Rattus norvegicus: one gene and its partner. The protein of the gene in region 1 interacts with the protein of each later gene in a biochemical or structural test. Links are inferred from orthologs where the notes say so. Each region holds a gene or a part of one and is shown on either strand. Other genes may lie near its edges.

Region 1 (7,222 bases):
AGGTCCGAATGGACCAGGAAAGGGTTTAACGTCCTGGTTCTCCGGTGTGGCTATCCCTTGTAGTTTTGTGAATGGTTTCTTCTGAGTTTGAACATCTGAGAAGAAATTTACTCTGTTCCTTGAAGGTTGGTGCTTTCCTGGGCTTCTCCTGAGCATTTTTGAAAAATGGTCTCATTTACCTCACAAACCTGTCAGGAAGAGCCCCCCTCCTCCCACAACTCAGCCACACACACACACCAAACAAACAAACAGACAGCACACCTATTAGATCCATGATGCCACCATGGCTATTCACCACTCCCTCCGACTTGGGTGTCTTTGATGACACCTTGAAGCCCCTGGGCAGCATCAACATCTATAGCCTTGCATGGCTGTTTGACTCTGGGCTATCTGATATCTGGAGACAGGATCCTATCTGGTAAGGCAACTGTTTTCTTCCACTCCAGAAGGCCAGAAGCCCCAGTCCCACGCACCCCATATGACTAGAGTACAGAGCCAGGATGGATTTTTATCTGGGCGTAATGTAAAAAATTAAAAGAGAAAATGAAGCACTAAGACACACACAGAAAATCCCTGTGAACAAACAAAGTCTGAGGCCTGGTCTGGGGGGAGGGTAGGGAGGAAGGAGTCATAGTAGGAAGGTAGGGGTGGGGTAAAGAGGTAATGATGAGAGTAAGGGGCTAGGAGAGGGGGTAGGGAGGTAGGGGTGGGATTTTATTCCAAAATCTGACCTGGATTGTAACTTTGGGCATTCATGTATCAGAAGATCCCAAAAGGGGCATTCAGGATGCATATGCCTGAGGTCTGCTGTATGTAGAGACTTAGACTCAAGGGTCAGCCATATTGCCCTGGATAAGTAGGTGCCAAGAGAGCCTTGTGGATAGCCTTTTAGAGCTGGCTCCAGGCCCAGAGTGCCATGAGATATAGTCCCAGGATCACAGAGATCCTGGCATTTTCTGTTTGCCCCAGTGTGAGATGCCAAATGTCCTCCCACTTCGAGTAGAGTTGAGCCTAGTGTACACACTGAGCCCCAAGAGAAGGAAAGGTCACACTTTCTGTCCCTCCAACTCCAGAGGGGTGCGGGTTTTGTTTTGTTCATTTGTTTAGTCGTGTGTTCTGTCCCGTCCCCCTTCCCCCTCCCTACCCATCTTTCAAGATATGGTTCTTTGTGTACTCTTGTCTGTCTTGGAACTCACTATGCAGACCAGGCTGCTGGCCTCAAACCTAGATATCTGCTTGCCTCTGCCTCCCGAGTGCTGGGGCTAAAGGTGTGCGCCAACACTGCCCTCTACCAGGCTTACTTGCCTTCTTTTATTCATAAGCAATTGGGAGCAGGAGAGGAGGTCAGCCTGGAGGCTGAGGTGGGTTCTACTTCAGACCTGAGCTAAGGAAGGCCCCCCCCGCCCCCCGCCCTGTGGTTCTCAGGAAGAGTTGGAGGGCTATGAGCTATGCACTCACTTCAGCTCCAGGAGCCCTACGCATGCACCAAGACTTGACATAGCCTGGTCTACACTGATAGCCACCGACCGCCATGCTCAAGAAATGGATATGCACCCACAAAATCCAAAGAGGCTGCCTTAGGGCTGAGTAGGTAGGAGCAGGTGCTACTGGTTCTGCGGAACACCCTGCCATGTGTTCTCAAGCTTGGATCCTGACCGGGACCCTGGGCAGAGTGTAAACAGAGGCTACTACCGTGAGAACTGAGGGGCCTTCTTTTCAGGGCTGTCCTTTAGCAGGATGGCTGAAGATGCTGAGTGAATGGCACAGCCAGCGCTAGGAATGTAATTTGGTGTGAGCCATCTGTCTTCTGTAGGTCATTCTATAGGGAACCATGTCATTCCCCATCCTTCATGGGGTCTGAACGTTTTCAAAAGGCTCACAGGGAGGTGTGGGGAGGGGGGTCTAGAGGTGGGAGCACAGTCAGAAGTGCTCCTTGAACTCTGGGAGGCCTTGGTGAGCTGGTTTTTGAGCCTTGCCATGACTGAACTAGTCCCGGTTGGTCCATCTGCAACTAAGTAGGAAGCTTTCAAAATTCTTTCTCCCAAGGGCTCTGAAGAACAAGTGCCCCTGAGTTCCCCACAATCTCCTTAGCCAGGACTATTTGTTTACAAATGAAGTTCTTAAGAAGCCAGGCATTGAGCGGGGCGGGGTAAAAGAGACATTGTCTTGAGTGAGGGGATGCTGGGAAGCTGACAGAACGTTGAAGACAGAAATGCAGACGGTGAGTGTCAGCTATGACCCCTGTCTAGGCTTTTGTGTTCTCTTTTGAGTGAAGAAGTGGGTCCCGACAATGCTCAGGAAAAGGACCGGTGTGGGAGGAGGTGCTGGAAGGAGAGAGGAGGGTGATTTCCTTGGAGGAGACTAGTGCCTGGACACGGGGTGGGTGGGTGAGGCGCTGGAAACCCCTAATGAGACTGTGGTATGGGGGTGAGGGGGATTGCTATCCTGTGAGTAAACAAGTGGAGTCACGGAGATGAGACTCTCTGGACTGCTGACTTTCAGGGGCTGAAAGGGTGCGTATAAGAAAGTGTCTGAAAATGTGGGTCAGAAAGAATTGCGGGACACAGAACAAGTCGCGCTCAAGTCAGCACGCTGCAGGTTGGCGGGGACAGCACGTTAGACCCAAGTCTCATGGACTTCCTCTCTCAGTGTCATTTTTTTCTCATCTGTAAAATGGGATTGTTGTCCAGAAAAAGGAGACATTCTCAGCTTCGGGTGAGTCCAACAGCTTCCTAATATGGTTTGAATGCAGGTAGGGTCTCTTGTGAATGGTCTTAAGTGCTCCAAGCTCCGGGGTCAGCATTGCCCCCTAGTGGCGATTTTGTGAACAGGCGGAGCAACGGGCAGGCAGGGAGGGCAGCTGCTGTCAGGTCGGCTTCAGTTCAGCATCTGTCGGTGGGAGCCAGGGCGCAGTCAGGACTTCCCCTGCAGAAGGCATGGTAGGTGAGCGGGATATGAGCCCTGACAGGCACGGCTCTCAGGGTGAGATGGGTGGAAACACTCTGTGGGGTACTTGGGGGTTGTTGGAGAGACCTCTCAGCCAGTCAGTTTATTTCTCTTTTTTCTGATGATTGTTGTCCCGGCCCTGCTGCCTGCTGACCCTTTCTCTAGGCACGGGGCACCTCTCTTGAACCTGGGCTGTCACCTGCCCACTCCCAGCTCCTCTCCTTGAGAGTTCCGAGTAGTGAGAACCCTAGGTACAAAGAATATAAAATAATTAAACTGGGAATGATTGAGGTGACAGAAAACAGAACCAAATTTGGGTCAAAGTACAGTTTTTAACTCCTTCACTTAACCCCTACGGTGGCTTTCTCTTCAGCCCAAGGTCATGCACACCTTTCTGCATGTCAGGTCTGCCCTGTGTCAATGGTTTTTGAGGATTAAATACCTGGACCTTTCCACCTGGAGTTGGGAAGGTCAGGTCTGCCCTGGCAGTTACTTTAGGAATCCTGGCTCTTCAAAGACCAAGCAATACTGCTGTTGCACCCACACCAAGTGGCTGTCCTGAAGTCTATCTTGAAAGGGAAACACCTGAAGGAGATAGCCAAGCCTGTTCTTGGAAAAAACTGTCGTTTATTCAAAGGTTTCAGGAGCTCCTGATATTCTCAGCAAAGGTCCAATCTTAACATTTAAAAATTTGTGTGTGTGTGTGTGTGTGCGTGCGCGCACGCAATTGTGTATAGAGGCTAGAGGATAACTCTTTTCGTTGTTTTTTTTATTGTTTTGGGTTTGTTGTTGTTGAAGACACGGTCTCTCTCCCTCTGTAGTCCTTGATGTCCTGGGACTTGCTCTGTAGCCTAGGCTAGCCTCAAACTCACAGAGACCTGCCTGCCTATGCTTCCCGAGTGTTGGGATTAAAACTGTGCACCACCACCGCCCAGACAATTTTTTTAAAGATTTTATTTTATTATATATAAGTACACTGTAGCTGTCCTCAGACATACGAGAGGAGGACATCAGATCCCATTACAGGTGGTTGTGAGCCACCATGTGGTTGCTAGGATTTGAACTCAGGACCTCTAGAAGAGCAGTTCATGCTCTTAACCACTGAGTCATTTCTCCAGCCCCCAATTTTATTATTTTTAAAGTTTGCACTTCGAGTACTTTGCAGTTGAAATGCACTTTATAGAGGGTGGCAGATGCTTTTCTTTCTCAGTGGCATGTGACTTATCAGCCCTCTACCAGGTGGCACTTTCAGTTGACATGACTTAGGACAGAGCTGGGATTACCTAAGTGACTTCTGGGCTTCTTCTCCCCTCTATTCTACATGCTCCTCCCTGCCTCAATTGTTCCTTCTTTCCTGGACAGCTCTCCCCAAATGCTTCAACAGGCCTCTTGTCCTGCAATGACAGTGAGTTCAAGGAGCACTTTGACCTTGAGGACCTGAACCTTACTCATGAGGACCTGAGGCTGAAGTACTTGGGGCCACAGCAGGTAAAACAATTTTTGCCCATCTGTGTCACGTACCTGTTGATCTTCGTAGTGGGCACTCTGGGCAACGGGTTGACCTGCACCGTCATCCTGCGCCAGAAGGCAATGCACACGCCCACCAACTTCTACCTCTTCAGTCTCGCGGTGTCCGATTTGCTGGTGCTCCTGGTGGGCTTGCCCCTGGAACTTTATGAGATGCAGCACAATTACCCATTCCAGCTGGGTGCAGGTGGCTGTTACTTCCGGATACTGCTTTTGGAGACTGTCTGCCTGGCTTCAGTGCTCAATGTCACAGCCCTAAGTGTGGAGCGTTATGTGGCCGTGGTGCACCCACTCCAAGCCAAGTCTGTGATGACACGGACCCATGTGCGCCGCATGTTGGGAGCCATCTGGGTCTTCGCTATTCTCTTCTCTCTGCCCAACACCAGCTTACATGGCCTCAGTCCACTCTATGTACCCTGCCGGGGGCCGGTGCCCGATTCAGTTACGTGTACGCTGGTGCGTCCCCAGTTCTTCTACAAGTTGGTAATACAGACGACCATACTGCTCTTCTTCTGTCTGCCCATGGTCACCATCAGTGTGCTGTACCTGCTCATTGGGCTGAGGCTGCGGAGGGAGAGGATATTGCTCCAAGAGGAGGTCAAGGGCAGGATATCTGCAGCAGCCAGGCAGGCCTCCCACAGAAGTATTCAGCTTCGAGATAGGGAACGCAGACAGGTGACCAAGATGCTAAGTAAGTGCCACTGTTAAGGAGGAAGCTCCACTGAGCTAACTCCCAGTCTGGGGAAGGAATTGAGCTTCCAGGGGGTTTTGTTTGTTTGCCTGTTATTTTGCTTTTGTTTTTCTGAGAAGGGGTTTCTTTGTGTGGCTCTGGCTGTCCTGGAACTCGCTATGTAGACCAGGCTGACTTTGAACTCAGCGATTCACCTGCCTCTGCCTCCAAAGTGCTGGGATTACTACCACCTGGCTCTCCTGCCTGCTTTTCAAGGATGGGAGGATGGTGAGCTGGAGAAGCAAACTCTAAACAGGACACAGATCAGATCGGGCTCTCTTCTCTGTTTTTGCAGTTGCTCTGGTTATAGTATTTGGCACCTGCTGGGTTCCATTCCATGCTGACCGTCTCATGTGGAGTATGGTGTCCCATTGGACTGACGGCCTGCGCCTGGCCTTCCAGTCTGTGCACCTTGCTTCTGGTGTCTTCTTGTACCTCGGCTCAGCGGCTAACCCGGTGCTCTACAACCTCATGTCCACTCGCTTCCGAGAGTCCTTCCGGGAAACCCTGGGCCTTGGGACACGGTGCTGTCATCGCCACCAACCGCGTCACGACTCCCATAGCCACCTTAGGTTGACCACAGTCAGCACCCTGTGTGACAGGAACAGCAGGGATGTACCCCTGGCTGAGAACAGGGATCCAGGGTGTGAGCAAGAGACAGACCCTCCTGAATAAAATCCTGTGGCCTCACCCACAGGGCCAGAGGGCCTCAGACACTCCGGGGGCTACTGGGATAAGCTTAGAAAGGGATTTCTGCCCTGCCACATATTTGAGTGTTGAGGGAAACAGCAAGAAAAAGAGAATTGAACCCCAGTTGCCAAAGACTTGCGTTAAAGGCCTGAAAAGGTGACTCTGCAGTTAAGAAAGCTTGTAGCTCATCCAGAGGACCCGAGTTCAGGTCCCAGCACCCACATGGCAGCTTACAACCACCTGTAACTTCAGCGCTAGGCCCTCTGACACTCTCTCTTGGCTTCTGAAGGCATCTACCACATGCACATGGCACATAGCACACACCCATATATTAAAAAGACCCGGGATTGGGGATTTAGCTCAGTGGTAGAGTGCTTGCCTAACAAGCGCAAGGCCCTGGGTTCGGTCCCCAGCTCTGAAAAAAAAAAGAAAAGAAAAAAGAAAAACCCACATTGATGGGCTCAGTGGTTAAGAGCACTGACTGCTCTTCCAGAGGTCCTGAGTTCAAATCCCAGCAACCACATGATAGCTCACAACCATCTGTAACGAGATCTGAAGCCCTCTTCTGGTGTGTCTGAAGACAGCTACAGTGTACGTATATATAATAAATACATACATAAATAAATCTTAAAAAAAAAAGACCCACATTGAACCAGATATATGCTGTATGTTCCTCCAAACCCATCACAGTTACATAGGGCTTAGCCATTATTCCCCCGGGGATCCCTCTTTCCTCTCAAGCTCATACATGTTTCCATTGGAAACCTACCTGTCATTCTAGTAGTTTCTGAACTTCCATAGGCTCTCCAGCCCTTGCACTATACTTAAGACGGTCTTCCCACCATGACCTTTCCTGGCACTCCTTCTGCACTGAGATCTGGGCCTGATCAAGCTGCCAGGTGGGCAGGGGTTCCAGGGGACCTGAATGTGATCTCTGCCTTTGTCACCATGTTGCTTTGTGGCAACAAGAAAATCACCCTGGCTCTCTAAGAGGCCTTGGTTCCTTGCTCGCCCATGTCACCTTCTGAAGGAACCTTGCTGTGTCGTCTGTGTGTACCACAATGGCTTCGGCTTATCTGCATCACTCCCAGACCCCACTTTCTCTCTGACCTTCTCATGGTCCTGCTCCAAGCTGTCAAGGGCAGGTCCTTTGCTTGTCCTGAAACAGACAGGGCCAACCTATGAGCAGTGCACTCCTGGCAGCCCGCAGACAGGCTGACCTGGCTGCCCCGGTGAACACATGCTAGATCCTGTTAGCCAGGGGATATATCTGGAAGAAGTAGCAGCTACCGTGAGGACCAGAAGTGGCTGTGCAGAGACGGTGTGTTG
Region 2 (7,362 bases), on another chromosome or scaffold:
ATAGTTTGGTTTTACTTTGGTTTACTGTTTCCTGAGACAGGGTCTGGCTAGTTTAGGGTCACGTTGGAATTCTTCTGCCTTAGCTTCCCAGGTGCTGATTGAGTGACAGATGTTTAGCCCCGCTCCCTGCTCTTTACCTCCTCCCCCTTTTTCTTTCCCATTTGTTCATTCAGTTGTCCTGTGCACTCAGTCTCTGGCTGACTGTTAGTGGCATGAGACAGTCTTGTTTGAAGTGGTGTCTCTGTTGTATAAAATACTGGCTTTGGTAGCCTTCTGGTAGCCTTCTGGTAGTCTTTCTCTTGAGGGAGTGGGGTGTGCGATTTCCAGTAAAGAAGAGTCCATCCAAAATTCTTCCAAGTTGGAAGCCTTGACTTTGGAAAGGAAGAGGTTAATAGCTAAAGAGTTAGAAGAGATAAAAATAAAACTACAATATACAGCAAGATTTGGATTCATATTAAAGTTGATAACATTTTAGTTCTAAGCTGCAAAGATTGCCCATATTCAGCCTGTCCTCATACTTAGTTCTGACTTCTTTCCTTGTTAGAAATTGAAATTATACACACACACACACACACACACACACACACACACACACACACACATATATATATATATATATATATATATATATATATATATATATAGAGAGAGAGAGAGAGAGAGAGAGAGAGAGAGACCTTCCATTTAAACATTTATTCCTGATCTTTGCTCCTAAGGAAATAAGGAACCTAACTGCCCTTTGTCTTAATTTCCATGTCTCAGAATGACATGACCTGAGAGGCTGTTTCCTTAAACACATCTCCAAAAACATAAACTCATATAAAGATAGCAAGAAGTCAGGAGGAAATGTCTGTTGAGTTTAAACCAATAAAGGTTCCACAAGGCTTAAAGTCTCCACTTAAGTCAGTGAGAACGAAAACCAATGAACCAAGTGAAGGAGTAGGCAAAAGAGGTCAGTGGAAGAAGAAACAATGGTGGACAATATGCTTTTCAAAAGATAGGCAGTCTCATTGGCAGACTAGGAACTTCGAAGTACATCCACGGTGAAGTGTCATGCCCTCTGGGCTGGCAGAGATTTTTCTCCATGGACTAGCAGCCCCTGAAACTTCATTCTCTGCTGATGGGAGTCTTAGTATAACCATTTGAAATACTATTTACAATAGAGGCTAACTAGGTCAGCCCCTTTGACTTAGTAATCCCACCCCCGGGTATACACCTCAGAAAACTCTCCCACACATGGACTGGGAACACATTCGAGAACATTCATAGCAGTCCAGCTCAAGTCGTGCATGTGTTTCCTTAGACATTCCTGACACTGAGGGGGGTGGTAAAGGCAATACTGGGCGGTCACGGGAAACCCACACACAGTGGCTGCCAAGACCTGTGATCTCTCAGAGACCTCTGGGAGAAATGAGGCCAGATAACTTTTCTGTCCCCTGACCCCCCTGACCCACCCTTAGGTCCCTTAGATCCAGTGTACCACTTGCATTAATCCATTTATTACTACTTTCGGAGTAAATCAAAAAGGGGAATTTTCAGCCAATACGTTCTCATTCATAATTTTGTCATCCTCGTGTGTTTCTTGTATAAAATTAACTTCAAAACAGTAACCAGTATTCTCTGATCTGCTCATGAGGGTTTCATTCCTACTATTCTCTGTATTTCCAATTAACAGCCTATTCTCCCTGGAATTGCACAGCAATTGGGCATGACTTGGGGGTAATTAACCAAAGATTAATTATCATTAGGGAAAGTTCCTTCTACTAAATGGTGATTCCCTCAGAAGACCTGCCTTGCTTATCGTGGGTCACTCATGCATGCCAGAGGCCAGGAAACCCCATTGAGGAAGAAACCTGTGCCCATGCTCCTTCCCGGGCTGAGTTTGACTGGGTTACTCACTTTGTTCGCTAGGTTGTTTTACAAAAGCTTTTCTTCTTTTCTTCCTTCCTTTTTTTCTTATTTAAATGAATTTTTACACTGCAGATATGTCATGAATATTAAATGAAACTGCGCGGGAAAGTCCGTGGTTGCATGACCCCAAAATGCCCCTTTAAAAAACAGCAATGTGCTTCCTTCCTGCCCTTTCCTCCGAGCTCCTCGCCTATCAGAAAGAGGTTAAACAAGATAAGTTGCACTTTTTTTTCTGCAGAAGGAAATTAGAATCGTATTTCTCAGTGTCCTCTTAAGTGTCCCGGAGTGTGGGAATAGCGGACGTGAGGTTGCGAAGGAAATGAGAGAGAAGAGCATCCTTCTGACAGAATGGCCACTTGAGCCTTGGGTGCCCCACAGACAGCCCCCACCTTCTAACCGCTGCAAGTGCACCCAAGCCCTGCTCTTTCCTGACCACCATTTTACTGCATCTCCAGGAATGGTTTTGGACTTTGCAGGTGTTTGGGGGTTTAGATGGCACCGTCTTCACCCACATTGTGGTGGAAGCACTATCACTCTGATGCCCTGGGCACTGTGCATTGAACGGAGCTCACCCAGAGAAGGAAAAGAGGGGTGCTTGGATAGCAGGGGGATTCCTGGCTAGAGGAGCTGCAGGCCGGGAGACTTGCACAAATGGGTTGGCTGGGTATACTGTGGTATCCCGGAGACACAGGAGAGAGTGTAGCCACCACTTAACCACCCTGATCTCAGGCTCTGGAGGCTGACATCCCCTCCGGCTCCCACCCAAGTTCCCCTTCCACAGGTGGGAGTGGACCGCCATGGTTTAATTTCATTCTCCAGCTCAGAGCCGAATGCGTGGTTCCCTGAGTCAGACACCCGGCCAGGGAGCGCGTGTCCTGCGGAGGCGGCAGCAGGTCCGGGTGACGCCAGGGAGCCAGGGGCGGCGAGGTCACGCGTGGAGACTACGCCAGCCTAGCCCACGTGTGCGCCGGATTTAAAAGTTGGTGGCGCGCGGAGATGGTCACTTTGGTGTCTGAGCTCAGCAAGAGGCGCTCGGGGGACGCTGAGGGACAGCTTTAACACCCGCACAACACAGGGTACCTGGTTCCCAGTCCAGAGCTGCTTGGAGGGCAGAGATGTCGCGAGCAGCTAATCGCCGCCCAGGGCTCTCCGCAGGACAATTGGCCGCTGCAACTGCATCTCCTCTCCTGTCACTGCTGCTGCTGCTCGCCTGCTGTGCGGACGCTTGCAGAGGTAAGGTGCAATCATCCTACCTCACAGGGCCCCTCAGGCTGCCGCTGCACTAGTTTCTCCCCGCTACCTTCCTTGTCTCTTCCCTGGGCTTCTAGAATCCACCTCCCACTGAAGCCAGGATCTGAACCAGGACTGCAGGCACAGCTGGCTGTGGAGGGCGCAGGGCAGGCTGTAGACGCCATAGCCGGAGTTTAAAAAAGATTAAAACACTTTCCCTTTCATTGCAGTTATCGGAGGGACTTATGGTTGAAACAAAAGTCTGCTGGTCCTCTTGCCAAGGCAAGATAAAGTTGTGCTGCGCTGCGCCTCCTGGGAGATCAGCTGTCGAGTTACAAAGAGGAGGGACACAGGCTTACAGGGTTTCAGGATTAGAGTTCTCATCACAGAAAGTTAGAGTGAGCTTGCAAGGTTTATCTGGGTTTCCGGAGATGGGCGCTTAAGGTGGCAAGGCAGGTGGGATCCGATGACAACAGGGACCTCCCGAATGTGGCTCCGAGGAAACAGGAAAAGCAAGACCAGGGCGAGAGGTCTCAAGCACGGATGAGTGGCAGAGCAAAATGTGTCCCTTGGTTCTGTAAAGAACGTTTAGTTACCAGGTAACCTGGGGGGCTGTCATTCATTCCTGCCTTCTGAAGGTCCTTGAAATCCCAAACACTGCCTTGTTACAAACGGAATTCTCCAGGTGCTGCTTATTTTTCAGAGGCGTTGAAGATTTAAATATCACGGCCGCAGAGCACTGTGGGAGCTCATGGATGAGCCCTCAATTAGAGCTGGGCAGAGAGGACGAGTATTCTTTTCCTGGCCCGTCTTTGTTGCCTTCATTTCAGTATTTAACTTCTGTTCCTGAGACATTGAAGGGGAACAGGCTCCCTCACCTGAAAGCCAGTTCAAGTAGGACAGCAGCAGGGACAGTATGAGAGCTCATCTGATAAAGGTACCCTACTACCAAGCACAAAGACCGAAGTTCAAGGCTGGGTTTGGTGGAGTACGCCTTTAATGCCAGCACTAGGGAGGATGAGGCAGATGAAGCTCTGTGAGTTCCAGGCCAGCCTGGTCTACAAAGTGAGTCCAGGACAGCAGAGGCTACACAGAGGAACCCTGTCTCAGAGAGAGAGAGAGAGAGAGAGAGAGAGAGAAAGAGAGAGAGAGAGAGAGAGAGAGAGAGAGAGAGAGAGAATGAACGAACTTGAGTTCGATCCCCAGGACCCACAAATTGTCCTCTGAAATAAAGAAAAACCAATAGCAAAATGGCAGCCATGTGATAGCATATTATTCTTGTGCAGTAGTGGTTTACCATGATTTATGCAAGCTAAATTAGCCTTTTCTCTTTTAAATGCTTTATTAGAAACATTAGAATGATAATTTTATTTGCCTTCTTAAGAAAGGAAATAATTGTAAAGGTTATTTTTTTTGTTGTTTTTAAAGAATTCAGGCTTATTTAATACAGTGCAAAGAGATCAGCAGCCTGACAGCCTGGCAGTAGCAGATAAACTTTCTGTAGCCAGATAATCATAGTCTTTACTTGATTTATTTATTTGTTTGTTTATTTAAGATATATGGGCATTTTGTCTGCATGTATGTCTGTCTGTTACATGTGTACCTGGTGTCCAGAGAGGTCAGAAGAGGGTGTGGCCTCCCCTGGGACTAGAGTGACAGCTACCACAAGAGTTCTGAGAAGTAAACCCAGGCTCTTTAGAAGAACATACAGTGCTCTGAGCATTGACCCAGCCCTGATAACCACAGCTTTAAAACAATTGTTTTGTTGGGGTGGGGGGGGAAGCTATGCTTTCTACGCATGTTGCATGCAGAATGTGCTTGTGACGGCTTCTGCAGCTATCGGAATGACTGTCTTGGAGAGCTGGGTGGTCAGTTCCTAAAAAAAAAAAACAAAAAAACAAAAAAACAAAAAAACAAAAAAACAAAAACAAAACAAAACAAAACAAAACAGACGAGCCTTCAGTTTTATTCCCAAAAGAGCAAAACTGCTGACTGATCAACCGAGTCATAAGTAACCTTGATGTTATTCAAGCAAAAGGCTTCCTTCACTCTCAGGAAGCCCCCTGACTGCCGTTTTCTGTCTTTGTTCCCTTTCAGACATGAAAAAACAAATCTCATTTTTAAAAAAATGTAGTGAGGTGTGCTTGTGGGTGGGTGTCAATAGGCAGTGTAGTCTGCCTTAGTTCCAGATCATCTAAATGTGGGGTAGGGACATGCATGGCACACATAAGCAAAAGTTGGAGGTAATCTAACAAGAGCAATCAGTCTACATCTAAAAATGACAAGAACAAATGTCATAAAGCCAGAAGGAAACGAGTGTCAGTAAATGTATCATCCTTAGAAAAAAAAAAAAACAGAAACAAAAACAAACAAAACACCCACAAAAACCAAAACACGAGCAGAGTACAGGAGGGCAGAGATAATGAGATAGAGAAGCCAGTATGCTGGGTGGAAATGCCTCACTCAGAGAACATGTTTGAAGAGGGAAATTTCTCATAAAGACCGACAGAGTTTGGGTGTCCGCCAGTCACTTGATTATGCCTGCAGCCATAAGAGATCATGGCCAAGGCTGATTTAAAGCATGTCTTTCCTGCTAAGATCTTTCATTCATTGACTGATTGGAAACGTTCAGTGACTAGTAACTGATTTCTCAGATGCTAACCCTTCAGGGAAGTGTTTGGGAGAACACTGGTGCCACCTTTCCCATGATCAGGTCTGTTTTTTTACATAATGCTTAAGTAGAAATACCTTGACAGGGATGACCGGAGGCTTTCGTGTTAGTGATGTAGGGGTAAAGGGTGGTGTCGTTTTGGAAAATGTGGATGGTAGTACAAATGCTTGTTTCTTCAAGTGCCGTGTTAGGCTGGCATGCAAGGTGACCTGGGTTGAGTATGGCTTCCAACGCTTTGGGTCTTGCTTCCCAGTGTGTTAACACCAAGAGGTAATGAAACCTTGAGCAGCGGGGTTAGTGGGACATGGGTGGGAGACTGGGGACATGGCCCTCAGAAGGGATTAAAGGTGTTGCCTTGGAAGTCTGGTTCCTTGGAGAGTGGGTTGTTTAAGACTGAGATTGGCTCCTCCCTGATCTTGGGCTTTCTCTCTCATTACACAATTGCTCTAGCTGGTTCTCTATCCACCCCGAGGCCCTCGCCAAGGGTTGGAGCTTAAACTGGCAGTTTCCAAAACTGTGAACTAAATGAATCTCCTTTCTTTACAACTTACCCAGCAGAAACCAGAATACAGCAAGTGGCTTAACAGGAGCATTGTATCAACTCTAGTAGCCAGTCAGAAAAAGGGAGAACCGTGCTCCCTTTGTTGGGATTCAGTCTGATGACAGTGGGTTTCTATCAACTCTAGAGAACCATTTTGATTTGGGGGCTCATCAAACCCCAAGGCTGTGCTTCTGTGTTTTGCATAAGGGCCACTAAAGAGGCTCCACCCTCCCTTTAATTTTGATATTAGTGGTTAGAACTGTTCATCACAATGGCAATTTCAAAGTGGCTCATGGATACTTGAGTCAAACTCCTAAGGGTCTTGGTGGGGAAGTCTGACCCTTATGCCGGACAGCTGAGACGGAAGCTTCATTTTGTCCTGGGGTGGAGAAGGGTTAGGGACATAACACTGCGTTCTTTAAACAGAAATGCCAGGTTTGGAAAGGTTAGCTGAGTGGTTAAAGGCATTTGCCGCTCATACAGAGGACCTGGGTTCTGTCCCCAAGCAACTACATGGGATCTTGTAACTGTGACTCCAATTCCACGGGATTTGATGGCCTCCTTGGGCACAAGACATGAGCAGAGTGCATATGTCCACACGCAGACAAATACTCAGACATAGAAAATGAAGATAAGTAAGTCACAGAAATGCCTGTCAAACAGAATCTCAGAATCAGTAAGATCTCCAGGTACTTGACATGAAGATTTGAAATCACAGATTAATCCTTTCCCACAAGCACAACGAGCTCAGAATGTGACTCATCAGGCAACTGTGGTCTGACATGAATGTTTGTGGTATGGAGAGCAATTTATCACTGAAGAGTGTGAAGAACTTTATAGAAGGGGGTTCCTTACCAGGGGGTTCCCCCAGAGTCTGAACTTAACCAGCCCTTTATATGATGCTTCTAAGTTGTTTGTAAAACTCACAGAAAGGACTGTCACGGTTGTGAAAGGTCTTATGAGTTATGACCCTCTGTTTGAGTTCTAGGGCATACATGCATGCACACAT

What was found.
Region 2: the proteins of Nmur1 (region 1) and Nmu form a complex in vitro, tested with the Homo sapiens proteins (2 studies listed by BioGRID). The link is inferred for Rattus norvegicus from reciprocal best matches to the Homo sapiens genes NMUR1 and NMU.

Annotation. Positions count from the first base shown.
Region 1 is NC_086027.1:94,480,337-94,487,558, reverse strand, and holds Nmur1 (neuromedin-U receptor 1), read left to right. Parts: upstream 1-2,905; 5' UTR 2,906-2,936; coding exon 2,937-2,939; intron 2,940-4,308; coding exon 4,309-5,164; intron 5,165-5,498; coding exon 5,499-5,878; 3' UTR 5,879-6,321; downstream 6,322-7,222. UniProt on the Homo sapiens protein: Receptor for the neuromedin-U and neuromedin-S neuropeptides.
Region 2 is NC_086032.1:32,196,029-32,203,390, forward strand, and holds the start of Nmu (neuromedin-U precursor), read left to right. Parts: upstream 1-2,914; 5' UTR 2,915-3,026; coding exon 3,027-3,144; intron 3,145-7,362.